2 linked regions of the Schizosaccharomyces pombe genome follow. The protein of the gene in region 2 interacts with the protein of the main gene of each other region in a pairwise test. Each region holds a gene or a part of one and is shown on either strand. Other genes may lie near its edges.

Region 1 (7,521 bases), on a different chromosome or scaffold from region 2:
GAATTATTTGATTTCGCAGAACCAGAAACACTCGAAACATTTTCCTCGGAAGAGGCCAACGAGGTAACGTTGGAAGATGAGTCGGTGGCTTTAGCAGCAACTCCCCCTCTGACTCTATTTTCAGGTACTACTTTAATAGATTCTACATTACGATGATCATTCGTAGCAGACTGAGCAATTTTGCTTCCTCTAGCAGCAACTGCTGACCATTTTTTGGCACCCTGAGTTTTATTAGGGCTGGCAGCGCGTTGCGAGGTCTGTTTCATGCTGACAGAACGGGTTGCCATCAGAATTACTTGAGTGTCCTCAGATACTCTTGCAATTTCTCGATTTGCAACCTCCCAGTGCCCAACTGAAATTTGAGTAATTCCGTGGAGGTTGGAGGTAGAAGCAACTAAAAGTGAAGTGTAACCTTTAGGTAACTGGGCGAATGGCGCATGACACCAGGCTTACACCATAGAGGAAATCAAATGAATGCTACCATTCCTAATAATTGAATTTTTTTAATTTTAAATTTCAAAGTCGTAGCATAATATATTTTCAGGTTCGTACCTTTTTTTTTCATATAGATTCAGTTACTTTGCAGAGCACTAACCACCCAAAGGCTGCAGGTGGCAAATGCGGTCATACTCTATTTTCTTCGCAGAATGTATTGATAAATTAGCAATTGTACTGTTGATAATTTACTGATTCAAAACGCTTTATTTGCTTTTTTTACGATAACAGATGCAATTTTTTGAATTAAGCTGTAGTTTATGTAGCAATGTATGGCTTTACAATTCATGTACTATGTCTGGATGACTTATTCTACAATACAATAAGACAAAGGTCAATACATAATACGGAAATTCCGTTAAAGTGAACAGGCAATTCTTAATTGAGTAAACTTTAGACATTAATTGATTCAAAAGCAACCTACAACCGCAAAAAAAACTTATTCTTTGTAGCTTGGAAAGTTTAGATTGGCCTTAATCAAGGGTTATCGGCTTACATGCTTTACAAAAAACACTTTTCATTTGCAAATGATTAGTATACTAAGAATAAAAGGCTTGAAAACTGGCACATATTTTACGTCAAAATAGACAACCAAGGACACTACGAGATTTTATAAGTTAAAAATCCCATTTACACCAATATTTGTTTAAACTTCTGAATTTGTTCTATCAGAATTCTATAGCCCCTTTAAACCACTCTCTTTCCAAGACACTGCAGTTTTTGTTTCATATTATAACGATACCTTAGTGACCATTAACTATTAACACTTCAGAAGTTAACATCGGGCTGCAAAAAGAAGATATCACTTGAACCGGCTTCGTGAGCAAATAACCCAATTAAACGTCGAAAGTTTTGGTTTCGTCCTTTCAAAGCTATTTTATTGCAAGCATTATAACCTTTCAGTATTTGAATCCTACAATTTAATTTTTCACGATGGGTATGAGCTTAAAAGGACAACTACTCACATTTTTTGGAATATTCATTACTGGTATGTTTATTGATACTATAAAACTGAAGTAATTCAGGTTTCAAAGTTCTTTAAGAGAATAAATTAATATATATATTTTTGTCTATAATTGCTTTTTTCACTAACTCACGCAGTCGGCCCTATATCATTTCTAGTGCTTAAAAACGATTTAAATAATAAAAAAAGAGAGTACTTTAAATTGTATAAGCAAGAACAGGCGAAACAGCTTGAAAATGCAAAATCTTCAAAAGAAAACAAATAATGAAATATTTACTATAATTTCGACGCCAATGTCAAAGCTGTCCACAGACAGCGATGCAAAGATATTAAATAAAATAACCTCCTAGTCCATGTAGTAATTCCGGCAATCCCAAAAATAACACTATATAATAAAAACGCTGAGTAATTAAAAATTAAAATAAAATAAAATAAAATAAAGCCTTAAACCGGAGCCATTATATAACAAAGCGAGACATATTAATCCAACAATATGTAGAATAAGTTATAAATAATAAACTAGTATTTCTCTCCTCCTGCGTTAACAAGCGACGCTCAAGGAAGCAAAACAAATGTAAGGAAACAACAGATAAATGATAAGGGGGGTTCCGTAACGACCTACTGAAAAAAAAAATCACTTTCCAGGCATTAAAAAAATAATCTTTCAATTCAGTGTCATAACGTTTCCAGGGCCTTTCATCTTTGCAGCCTTCAATAAAGATTGTCAGATAATGTAAAAACTTTACATGTTACGAGGAAACTAAATAAATTGATAATCTAAAATATATGTTTAAAAGAACTTAAGCCTATCAAACACTAAGCTTAAAAACTTGGAATGGAGAGTAAGGAATCCTCATTTTCATATTTGTGAAGTTATGCTCAGACGATAAGGCTGAAATATCGCGAAAAAATCTCCAAAAAATGGACTTAATCCTTTCAAAATAACATACGAAGAACAAAGTTGGTTATAATAGCTGCCAACAAAACAAAGCAGAGAATGGTAGGTCCCAATCGATCATCGTAAGGACCACTTCCGCGTCGTCGAATAGCAGATGCTCTCCAGTGGTAAATACCAAGAGCATAACCCATGGTACCAATAGCAACAATAGTGAAAAGTCCTGCACTAATCTTACCAATTCGATCACCAAAGTTAAGTAAACCAACTGACAAACCACCCAAAACTACTGCAAAGCTCAACCAAGAAAGGAAAGTACGTTCATTAGCGAAAAAAACTTTAGGTTCAACACGAACAGGAAGAGCAATTCTTTTACCAGGAGTAGTTTGTAAAAGAGGTTGAGTAGACATTGTTAGTGGAAAGAGTGAGCTATAAATCGAAGGTTTTTTCTCCTCGCGAGATTAAGTATGTGCTGGCTGTGAGTTGTGGTTAAGGTCAGCTGTGTCGAACGGCCTAGAAATTTTTTTCGTATCTTACTACGGTAAGTCTCGGTAAGTTAATTAGCAGATTTAGCGAGACTAAATTCTTCAAATTTTGCATTATCAAATTCGCTTCTTCGCTAACCAGAAAGCTAATGAAGATATACATTTCATTTCATTTAAGGACACGAGGATATGTAACTTTTCCTACTTAATCCTATCATGTTTAGAGATAAAAGTTGTAAAATAAGTTAAACTACACTAATAAGCATTGAAAATTTTCAAAAGTTATCATCACTTAAGACTATTATTTATCATAAAAACTCCGAGATATGAAACTAGCAAATACTGTATCAAGGGAAGAATATAATTTATAAAAAATTTGTAAGTGACTAAGAAATCGTCTTGAAATCAGACACACTTAATATAAACGAATGTTGACAAGACAAGACTCTTGTTTTCCTAAGAAGATTGGTGAATAAAATCTATATAGCAAAGGTAAAATAGGATAAAGGCGTGTAATAAACTTGAATATATAGAAGTAATTTTCCAACATCAGTTGAGCTAAAAATACAACAAAACATAACTCGTAAACTTATTTTGAAAAATGCTTTGAAACACTTAAATTTGGTAGTCATTAAGAGCAACACAAACAGCAGCTTTGTGATGACCCGAATACTGACGGATTGTTTCACCACTCGATAACTCCCAAAGCCTTGCAACATGATCAGAAGATGCGGTTACTAAGTAGGTAGAATCAGCAGAAAACGCACAATCCCAAACCCATCTTTGATGCCCTTGAAGTCGTCTCTCAAGCATAAATGACATATCCTCCGTACTCCATATATTCACTGTAGCATCGGCAGAACATGTAGCAAGGTGTTTGACATCAGGAGACAAGACGCAGCGAGTGATATAACGCTGATGAGCTTGAAATTTGACAACGGGCTGAAGCAATGAAGCACCCTGATGATTTAGCATTCGCCAAACGTAGCAGTTTCCTTTGTTGTTCCCAGCAATAAGCATACTACCATCAGATCCAACAGTAATGCTGCTCATAGGTACATCTTCTTCCGGAATAAGTTCGTGTGTACAAGAATTCTCTCCTAAATCCCATGCACGAACTCGTCCACTTTGGTCGCATGAAAGCAGTTCACCTTGATTTGGATGAATTAACAAGTCATTAACAGGAGATTTATGATCATAGTTTCGCTGAACTGAAGGGGCTCTCATATCCCACACCTTTACTGTTCCATCCTCGCTCGATGTGGCAAGCCATTTACCATCACAATGAAAAGCGATGGCTGTAACATTATTGGTGTGCCCTTCAAAGGTCATTAATGGCATTTGACTACTAGTGTTTATGTCGTACAATCTTACATGAGGATTTCCGGCGGCTGCTAGAAACTTCTTATCAGGTGAAATACATAAACGATTTACCTGAGAGTCCGCATGTTGTATTGTTCTCGAGCATATTCCACTTAGGGCTTCCCAAAATCTAATGGTATGGTCATATCCACTGCTGACGAGCAGAACAGAATGTTGTGGTGGATACTGTACTGACATGTGGTTAAAGAATGGAGCGCTGTTATACTGTAGTTATTAAACAAACTCGAATACAGAGAGAATTAATGACTGAAAATTTTTAAAATCAATTAAATATGTTTATATTATATATTTAGTAAATTTTTTGTAGCATGACTTGTAAACGCACGATTGGCGATCTATACTTTAAATCTACAGCCATCAAAACTTTAAAAAATTTAACAGTTTTGACCATAAAAACAGGAAAATTCATAGAATAATAGTAAATTCATGTTAATTTAATTTTTTAAAAAATTGCGCCTGCAATAAGTAGCATAAGCATAAGTGTAAAGATAAACTGGTATAACTAAAATATTATACAGGACGAAAGGTTAAGGCAAATTTTTAAGCAACAAAGACATCATTGCTGAGTTGAACGACATTTAAACCTAGATAAATGTCGATTTGTAAATAGTTTATAATAACTATCCTAACTATTAAAACCAACAAGGTTCCGAAAGACGTATAACAGAAACGGACAATAATGGATAAAAAAGATCATAAAAGCAAAATATGGTTTAAAATTCTGAAAGCCAAAATTATTTACGCTTTCGGTGCATGTGTTGCAAGTTGAGAAGTAGTGCTCTATTAAAGTCCCATTCAGAGAGCAAATCTTTGAGCAGTAAACCAACTTGATCATATTCATCCATAGCATATGTCTGCATAGCTGTATTGTCTCCTTCTTGAATATATGAGCTGATAGACTCATGAGTTTCCATCATTACAGAGTGCAACTCGTTAAAAAGACTGCGCAAATTTTCTTTGCACATGATCCTGGGGAAAGGTTTGCTAGTAGTGTTATGTTGATTACGGTTGACCGATTCAACTGAAAACTTTAAGATGTCAACGAGACGAACCATCGACACAGACAATGCATTAGAGAGGTCACCTACCTCCCGGTGAACAATGAGCCATGAAGACCTTTCAGCTAAAAATGAATCAACCGGAAACGATAGTATGCAACATAGAACTTGCTTAGAGATTATAGTTAATTCATAATAAGCAGTTTTGATGTGATTGAGAATTTGGGTGGATTGGTCATCAAAGTCTTGGTTTTCTTTACGGGCTAGGTACATGGAACTCCGTTTTAAGCTTGTTGAGGAACCTTTTCGGAGGTCAAACGAATTTAATTTACCAAAGCAATTTGGAAGTCTATATAGTGATAATAGGTTTCTAAGGTTGGAAGCAGCTGCATACGGATATATTCTTGACAGAACCAGCTGGTATCTAGGTAAAAGCTTCTCATACAAACCAGACAGTTCGTAACTTAAAGTATTTTGTTCCGTAAGATTAAACAATAAAGGATCATTGGCAGGAAGGAAGTCCATTAACCGGGAGCGATTTGCTGCCGAATTTGCTTCCAATTCACAAATTTGGGAGTAAACACGATTAGATGTAGTTTCAAAATCATGCAATAGATTGACAAACTTATTTAAGCTGGATAATCCCATAATACGAATAAAATATGTCCAGCAATGACAAATCCGTATGAGCGAAGAGAAGCAAATATAAGATAAGGCTATTATCTTCACAAACTTTAGATAATGAAGACTTGCCATTGCAGATGATAATTTGTATAAAACAAAATCTATTACAATTTGTAAGCTCAGCAGATAGGCGAAGTATCTCCAAAACTTGCTCGTAGAACTGAACGATGAAGAAGGATAAACCAAAGAAGGCTGTTCTTCATGATGTGACCGCTGTAGCTCGTGATCTCCTACGAGGAGTTCAGATGTATAAATAATGTACTGAATGCTGTCAAAAAAATATTCGTTTTCTCGATCTTGTAAGTTTAGATTAACCGACCCCTGAAAATGTTCATTAGCATATTACAATAACTCAAACTATAAAATCAGACTAACCATTATGCAAGGCCATAGATAAATTGCCAAAAAAGAGATAAACCGATGCCATATAGCAAAAGCGTGCATGGAAATATACACTTTGTATCGAGTCCTCAGAGATGAATACAACCCTAGTGTATTGTGTCAGACAAGAAAGAAAGTCGAAAAGAACAGGAAAGCTTTTGTCTTACCATCGCGAGATAGTTGAGTATCTACGTTCATATCAAACCGTTCAGCCAAACATGGAAAGGCTTTGCTTGCGACACCCTGATAGACAGGAATTTTTTATACAGATGTAATGACAAACAATATGCTTTAAGCAGCAACTTAATTGTAGTTTAAAATCATATAGAAATACTTAAAATCAATGAGGGTTTGCACTTCAGGATAATGGTAAATGAAAATCACACTTCACGAAAATAAAACGCGTAAACCGTTAATCTTCAAAACTAAATAATACCGCTCAAATTACGCTGTTTTTCCGCTAATGTTCATAAGGGAAATGTTTGAATTCCGTAAAACTGTTAAGGATGCGCAGGGTGATGGTAAAAGATTTGATAGTATATGTTTATTTTGCAGAAATATTCGCCTTGACTATATACAAAGTACTTTTATAAACTAAATAGTGTTAGAAAAGTATAAAGAGAAGCTTCGATAGAAAATTATTTCAAGGTTAAAATGAATAACTCGTTGCATCAAATTAGTTTGAGGTGAAAGGAAGGATATGATTCGTAGAACTGCTAATTCTTCCTGAGAATGGTAAATGAACGGAAAGCGATTTTTGCAGTTTGAACACGATTTGATACATGAGAGCAATACAGTAATATTGTATATACAGATGGAGATAAGATTTGGTTGCGATTTAAATGGCAATGAAATAAAGATCTAATAAGATAACCATTAGTAAATTCTTAGCGAACCATGCTTTCCCACCTGCTAGTAGAAGATGTTTGCAATTCAGTAAACAAAGGTTATGAAAGTCACCAGTATAGCTAAATTAACAAAGTTAGCTGATCAATAATATTGAAATCTCATTAAATTACGATGATAATCTGTCTCTTCAATGAAATAAAAACTTAACACTGTGTAGATATTACGACGGCATGCAAAGAAACTGGAAACAGAGACAAGATATAGAGTTTACTAAAGTATTCAACCTATTCAGCGAATTTTAACAAATTCTTTTTCAATTTAGTGAGTTTACTTTTCAACAATTTTACAATTCATCAGTGAACTCTATACTTTTAAATCATTTGCAGT
Region 2 (7,894 bases):
TCAGAATCATTGACACGGTCTGCAACAGACTCTGCAGAAAAACCAGCAAAAATAACAGAATGAATGGCACCCAAACGAACAATGGCCAACATGGCAATGATTGTTTCAGGAATCATAGGCATATAGATGGCAACACGATCTCCCATACCAACGCCCATGGACTGGAGAGCACCGGCACATTGAGAAACGGAAGCCAAAAGCTCGCGATAGGTGATATAGCGACCCTGATTGGGCTCATCAGCTTCATAAATCAAGGCAACGGCGTCTGGGCGAGCAATGGCATGACGATCGACTAAATTATAACAAGGGGAAATGGCACCATCAGCGAACCAAGCACTATCTGCCTTGTCGATGGAACCTTGGACGACAGTGCTGAATTGTTTGTCCCAAGTCATCATGTCGCGAGCCATGTTACCCCAAAAAGTGGATGGGTCATTAATTGACTCTTCATACATACGTTTATACTCATCCAAACTAGCAATGTTAGGTTTAGGGACGGTGGGATCGCCATGAAGACGAACCGGAGGTTCTATAATGAGTGTGTGATCGACAGGATTTTTCGTCATCATAAAAAAAAGTAAATATCAAAATTGAGGAAATATAAGAACTTGTAAAAACAATAAAACTGTATGGTAAACCTTACAATCCGTAAATAAGCTTTCAAAGGTATCACTAAAAACGATGAAGAACCTTTAGAAGAGAATGAAAGGTAAATATAAGGGGAAAGAAAAGAGCGCTAGAAAAAGAAAATAACGAGAAAAATAAAAGTAGGAGACGAGAAGTTCGTTTCCTTGTACTCTACGACCAAATGATTTCAACGAAAGTTATGAAACGAAAGACAGAACACAGTTTACAACTGATAAAAAGTGATTTAGTCTTTAAAATGCGAGGTAATAATCTAAACATTAGCAGACATTAGTAAGGAAGGAAAAAAGATAAAGAAATAAGGTGGAGGGGGAAAGGAAATCTCGTGTTTACGAACCTCACGTGGCCATCCCAAAGCGCAGTTCAAGCATAAGCAGCAGAGACAAAGCAATGAGAATTTAAGAGGCTCGATTTTAAGAGGACGATAGAGTTCAAATACGAATTCCACCGATAAGCAACTTACGAAAAATACAAAAGAAAGATTCGACAAAAATCCAAAATCCTTCAGAAAGTTTGTGTGGTTAGGTTTTTGAACAGACAACTAACTCGACGGTAAGTAGGAAATCGCTTAACGTTCGACGTCCGAGGAGTTAACTTTGCAGTTTCGAATGGGGTGTTTTTTTCTTCTTTTTTTTCGTTCTACACGGTCCAAATATCAATACAAAAGAAGCACTGAAAGAGAACACTAATCCGGGAATCCGCAGAATCCAAGTTTATCCAAAAAAGAAGGGATCTCACGATACAAGATCTGCTTTTTGATGCTACGAAAAAACGAGCAACTATCAAACTATGCAAGAATACAAGTAGACCTAATGGAAAACCCAAGGAGTAGGAAGCTTGACGATATGAGGTTAAGCCGCGAAAAGGACGAATCCGTTTATTGTAGCAATAGCAAGGAGATAGGATGCGTGGGCTTGGGAAGGCTGGTAGACGTGTGAGTGATGGTGGGGACACCCAACAACAATGGACTAGTGAGGAATTGTTACTACGCATTAAACGATAGCCAACGAAGTGAGTTACAATACACCGACAAACGAGTCATTAGCAAAAGTGACCATGCGATATTGGAAAAGTAAATAAACACCAACACAGAAATTTTTATTTGTAAAACAAATTACAGAATTGAATTTGAAAAGGTCGATTACCCTGGATTTGATACCAATATCGGGTACACTTAATAGAAAAGCAAGAATTGAATGGGTTCACAAATAGACGAGATGTCAGTCGGCCAAGTTTGGTCGTTTGGTTGTGTCGGGAAAGAATGGCAAGAAGAAAAATGTCGGGAAAAGATTAAAAAACAAAAATACAATGAGAAGAAAAGGGCCAATTGAGCGCGCAAATTTTTTTGGCACGTGGTCAAGTTTCCGACGGGCAAAAGCCAATGGAGGGGATGCGACAAACGGGAACACAAAAGAAAGGAAGTCAGGAATATGAAAGTAGGAATGGAAAAGTGGAAACGGAGGATGCTTGGCTTGGATTACTCTATGAGAACATGATAAGAATATGCTGCAAACGGAATGCATTTGAAAATGATATGTTGCTTATAATGAAAACTATATAGCGTAGATGGGGTATTTGTACAAACTTTACAAAATAGACATGATAGTTAAGAATAGATTATTTGTGTGGTTGAATTTTTTTTTTTTAAATGAACTCGTGTTTTCATTCTCTACGGATCTAATAGCGTATATGGTATTGTAGGACATTGGCTCAATAAGCGTGATAATTTAGTAGACGTCGCAATTCCTGGCAAAAACATTGATTCAATAAAGCTCCTATCATTCATTTCTCTAACTTTTCTCGTCTTTTCACTACTGTCGTTTTCTTTTCTATCACCTATCGATTAGAAGTGGTTAGAACGGCCAAAGCTTGTTTTCGGCGAATAAATTATTGTTTGCATGAGAATCGCGCAACATTTCTTAGTCAAGCATGGTCTTTTACAACATAAATATTTCGACATATATAGCATTTCTTCCCACCGCATGACCGACAGCTAGTGTTGACTGCTCATGGTCGGCTAATGCTGACTGTTCAATCTGGCAGCTAGATCCTTAATGGCAGTTCGAAAGGCTTCTTGAATGCTAAAATCGACGGCGACAAAACCTCCTGACATTCTGATAAATCCCTCAGTCATCACGTTTTGCAAGAATCCCTCAGAGTGTACGATCAAGCCGTCTGCATCTTCCATGCTACCACTACCGCCTTTGGTGAATCGAGGCTTCAAAGCGTCGCCCCATGCCTGTTTTCGGTACGACCTGACTTTTTCTGGATACATACGGCCATCGGTCGTGAAGCCGGCCAACGGTTTTCCTTGAGCGGCCATGTACCCAAGCTCCACTGCCGTGCCTGGATCCATGTCTGGGGCACGTCGAAATGGATCAAGGCAGAAAATCCCTCCATCGCAACGATCCATCAATTTCCGATCGAGTTCCGCAATCTTCAAACTCGTTTCCGCTCCAGGAGCCATCTCCTCCACACCTTCTTGGCCATCAAACGGTGCAACTCCTTGCACCCCTGCGTCCTTGCAGATTTCCTTGAGTTCATCAAACAGCTCAATGGCATTAGGCCTAAACACGAGGTCTCCTGCCAAGTACACACAGGGCACCTTGTGAGGTTGCGCTTTAGGGATACTGACCTTTGCCGTACCAGTCATTTTGCCAATATTCGTAGAACGAGTATACGAAAAAAAAAAAAAAAAAACAAAAAAAAGTATGACTATTCGAAAAATATCCTAAGCGTCGTTTTGTACGTTTCTAGAAATCAACGCTTGTAAACACAAAGACAAGATTTTAAAAGTAACCCTTGTGTAAAATATCAAGAAATACAAAGATATTACTTCTCAATATACGAATATATGGTAGTAAATTGTATTAAATTTCAATGTTGATACCAAAAACAAGGAAAAAGATTGCAATTTTCCTACGAATGTTATCTAACAAAGGGTGTTTGTTTTAAAATGATTTCATCTCTACTATTCTTATACTCAAACATTCTCGTTGTCTAGTTTATCAAGATAAGGCATTTTTCATCGGTCTGTCATATTTTTATACACCTTCCTTCCCTATCTATCCATTCCATCAGCCTTTGCTCCTATCTGGTAACAATAAGCTCAGACAATCTTTTTTATATCTGTATTTAGGGAAACATCTAAACTACCACGAATTTCCCAATTTACCGAAAGAAAAAAGAAATCGAAAAAATCAGGTAATGTAGGAAATGCTAGTTGGTTGGTAGTGAGTGTGTGTGTGTGTGTATCAGGTTTAGAGCAGCGGCTTGAAGCACTAGGCTGGGAAAGCGTTTCGTTTTATTTATTTTTACTTTTTTTGTTCGATTCTATTGGATTTATCTGAAATTTGTTTTTCAATGGGAAAGTCTTTTGTGATGGATTAAAATCTTTTTGGAGAAAATCACATTTTGCAGAAAAAAATTTCTAGATCCCATTCATTTTGTTGTGGTTGTATAAAAGACGAAACATATGAATGAACTATATTTACTAGATAAATGGGATTCTCATACTTTGATCTTACCAATTATTTTCTACTTTGTTTCATTGTCACACAGTGTCTGTCTATTACTATATGATTTAAGAAATCGTCGCTTAATAATGACAACACATAGACTAAACAAAACGATGTTCAGGTAAGTTCCTGTTTACTATTTCCATAATCCTATTTAATTGTTTTCTTTAAAATGTCACACTAACCTTGTATTCGCAGGATTAAGTAAAGTGCGATCAAATGCTTCTTTGAATTTTTCAACTACCAAAAAATATGCGCAGAACAAAGTGTACACACCAAAAGGTATTTACTAGAGTGTAATATCCAATGGTGTATTCCCATGTCTCATCTATTCATTCTCTCTTGCTCTGTCTACGATTTTTCATCTATCCTATTGCATCAATATTTCACCCAATTTTTCGTACTACGCTATGCATCCCCATCAATGCATCTTGACTGGCGATTTCCGTCTCTAAGAATCCATTCATATCCCAAAGACCAATCCACACATGCTTGGAAGATGCATTGCATGCCTACGGAAATCATTGCATATCAGCCAATTCCAGTTTTCCAACGATTACTGCACTCTAACGATATCTATTTTCCTTATTTTCAGACACGGTATACAACCTTAATTATGTTTAATACGGTCTGCTCGTCATCACCAAATCCTGTTTTTACTTTAACGAAGGTTATCGCACGCAAAAAAGGTAAACATTGGATTGGCTCGCCATGTCATTCCGCGGAGAGCTCATGAACCAATGAAATAAGGGCGAAAAAATAAATTTAAAGGTCGACTTCCACCGCATCCCAACTTACTCTCAACGTACATCTTCTCACTAACTTCGCTGTGAATTTGTGGTTTTTAAATCTTCTTCTCTACAAATACTAAACTCTTAAGCCTATTTCCTTTCCTTAGCAATTTATTAATTCAAAATGCCTTACGCTCCTGGAGACGAAAAGAAGGGTGCTTCCCTGTTCAAGACTCGTTGCGCTCAATGTCATACCGTTGAAAAAGGCGGCGCCAACAAGGTCGGTCCCAATTTGCACGGTGTATTTGGCCGTAAGACCGGTCAAGCTGAGGGTTTCTCTTACACCGAAGCCAATCGCGATAAGGGTATTACTTGGGATGAAGAAACTCTTTTCGCCTACCTCGAAAACCCCAAGAAGTATATCCCCGGTACTAAGATGGCCTTTGCTGGCTTCAAGAAACCGGCTGATCGTAACAACGTCATTACGTATTTGAAGAAGGCCACCTCTGAGTAAATGGGGTGATGGCCGTCAACGACAGTTGCAAGTGTTGGCGTAATGCCGTTGGGATATGCTTTATGAATTCGTAATTCCCAATTTGCTTTTGTGTCTGTCACGTTACTGATTGATTGATTGCGTTTACCAAAAAAAAATAAAACAACATGGAAACGAGCAGCATAGGAACATGAATTGTTTGATATAAATTCTTACTTTGGAATTGGTCTCCTTCTTTTCATTTATTCCTTTTCTATTCTCTTTTTCTATTAGACAACCTTTTTCAAAAAAAAAAAAAATTCCGCAATTCCTATACCGTGAACCAGTTTTTTTATTCGGAGTTCCCAAAAGCTTATTTCCTGGGCCCACCGGGTTCTTCCCCATCAACTCCCCTCTGCTTTTTGAATTTTTAGCTTCCTGCATATTTTGGTGTATCTTGGTCAATTCATTTGAGCAAGATTCAGTTTCGAATTGATTTTCATTGATGCCTATGCTTTCTGATGCTTTGCTTTTCTTTACTTAAGGTTTTTTGAGCTGATTGGTTTTCAGTGAGTTTGGGTTTGTTTGTTTTTCACCTTTCTCTACTCTATCGTATTCCCATTCACAACCATACTCCCCTCTCTTTTGTGGTCGATCAATTCCCATCCAGATCGTACACACAAACCAAAATTAATCATAGCTCTCTTTTTTAGCTAATTCTATGTTGTTTTTACAACTATGGATCTTTTATGATATTCAAGTTTTCATACCTTTCACCCTTTTCTTTTTTTTTTAATTAGTTTCAGTATATTGCAATTGACGGCTGCAGAGCCCTCTGAGATTGCTCTCCGGTAGTTCAATATTCAACGCGCATGCATAAGGTTTTAGTGTAAAGAATTGAGGACAGTCAAGTGTTGTGTATATTTGAAAATTAATTAATCTTTGTATGTAACTAGACTGTGCGTTTAAAAGTAGCAAGGAAACACTGCAGTTATTCGCAATGTAAACACTTGCCAATTGAAACTTATGTGATATACTTTACTAGCTCCTGTACTTGAAACAAAATATTAGACTTAGATTTAAAAAAAGAAAAAAAGTATGTTCTATATGAATTATCGACTGCTATAGGCAAAGTAAATGAGATTTACACTAGAGATGTCAATGCTGCGATTTTGAAATTAAAGAAATATCGGATATCAAACGAATACCATAAATTCATTTAGGGCGATATAATTCTTCTTTGTTATTCGTTTTTATATGTAAGCTACGCAGTTTGGTATCTGATTTAAGGATACGTAGAACTGCGGTGAGTTTTCCTTGTGATCTATTATATTACAATACACAGGTTGTATAAGTAGCAACTGAGTATAGGTATTGTATTAACTGGGTTATAATGTTACCTATCACTAATATAGCTCATAACTGAACTGAGGAACGAGGTTCAGCAGTAGCTCTATTTATAGTATTCAGATAATATTGATCTTAATAGATTATCATTAAGATCAATCTCCATATCGTATCATACATGGTACGATATATAATTAGAACATGTGACATATAGTGATACTCAACGTAGTGTATTATAGCGTAGTGTAGTATTGCTGACATTATACTGCAGGAACTATATATCACTGTGTTGTGCTGTATCTAATAAGGTTAGCCGCTAATCCTCTGTAAGTTGCAAATTCTCAGTTTTTGGCAAAAATTATTACAAAACGACACTGCCGCATGGACTGGGAGGAAGTGACCAAATTGGAAGAAAATGAGTACAAACGTGGTTATGATGAAGGAATTTTAAAGGGAATTGAGCAAGGGTATGAGGAAGCATTTTTGTTTGGACTCGAGCATGCTTATAACAAATATTTACTGGCGGGTGAAATTTATGGACGCGTGTGTTTTTGGTTGAAAGAAGAAAATTCACAACATCCTAAAATTAAAAAGGCACATAGGCATTTAGAACAGTTGAAATCGTTATTAGAGTCGTTGCCCACCAACAATGAACTGGAGGAGACCGATGCTGGGTTTGACTCTTACTGGAACAAAATTACAGCCAAAGCCAAAGTGGTATCGAGTCTTTTAGGAACTAAGATTCTTCCCGCTGAAAAAATTGATGCTAATGATGGCTTTGAGTAATGTCTTCAGAGCAAATATACTATGGAAGGTATTTAATATTCCTGAAAACATTCACTTTACATGATTGATTATGTTATATTTTAGCAGATTATATCTGATATCCTGGCATTTGTTCTTTTTCTTGACAATATCTCCCTTCGAAAGAAAGCTGCATGTAGTGAGTGAATAGTCGTTTTTTTTTTTGGCTAATTCATTCTGAATGGAATCAATTTCTTCATCCGTTATGGTTAGAAACGTTTTGGAAGCTAAATAAAACATTTTGTACATTAAGATGGAAATTAAAACCGCAAGATCTTTTTTCTTGTCAGCCAAGTTTTTCCAGTTAATGAGTACTAGCATCTGTCTCTTTTAACTCTAGTAGGTGTGTTTGACTGGATGGCATCCCCATAATATTG

Evidence for each region.
Region 1: the proteins of SPOM_SPCC191.05C (region 2) and wat1 interact in a two-hybrid assay, tested with the Schizosaccharomyces pombe proteins (one large-scale study listed by BioGRID).

The regions. Positions count from the first base shown.
Region 1 is NC_003423.3:1,659,825-1,667,345, reverse strand, and holds wat1 (TORC1/2 complex WD repeat protein Wat1/Lst8), read right to left. Parts: upstream 4,406-7,521; 5' UTR 4,400-4,405; coding exon 3,455-4,399; 3' UTR 2,986-3,454; downstream 1-2,985. Other genes in the region: ath1 (ataxin-2-like protein), read right to left, coding at 1-287; SPOM_SPBC21B10.15 (uncharacterized protein), read left to right, coding at 1,429-1,483, 1,597-1,724; vacuolar transporter chaperone (VTC) complex, GTPase regulator subunit Nrf1, read right to left, coding at 2,396-2,764; myosin-binding vezatin family protein Inp2, read right to left, coding at 4,957-6,225, 6,280-6,392, 6,453-6,483. UniProt on the Schizosaccharomyces pombe protein: component of both TORC1 and TORC2, which regulate multiple cellular processes to control cell growth in response to environmental signals. Nutrient limitation and environmental stress signals cause inactivation of TORC1.
Region 2 is NC_003421.2:1,709,657-1,717,550, forward strand, and holds SPOM_SPCC191.05C (nucleoside 2-deoxyribosyltransferase), read right to left. Parts: upstream 3,878-7,894; 5' UTR 3,299-3,877; coding exon 2,663-3,298; 3' UTR 2,299-2,662; downstream 1-2,298. Other genes in the region: acs1 (acetyl-CoA ligase), read right to left, coding at 1-566; SPOM_SPCC191.03C (uncharacterized protein), read right to left, coding at 1,285-1,638; SPOM_SPCC191.04C (uncharacterized protein), read right to left, coding at 1,866-2,168; SPOM_SPCC191.06 (uncharacterized protein), read left to right, coding at 4,483-4,899; cyc1 (cytochrome c), read left to right, coding at 5,079-5,408; ribosome biogenesis protein Lto1, read left to right, coding at 7,095-7,499.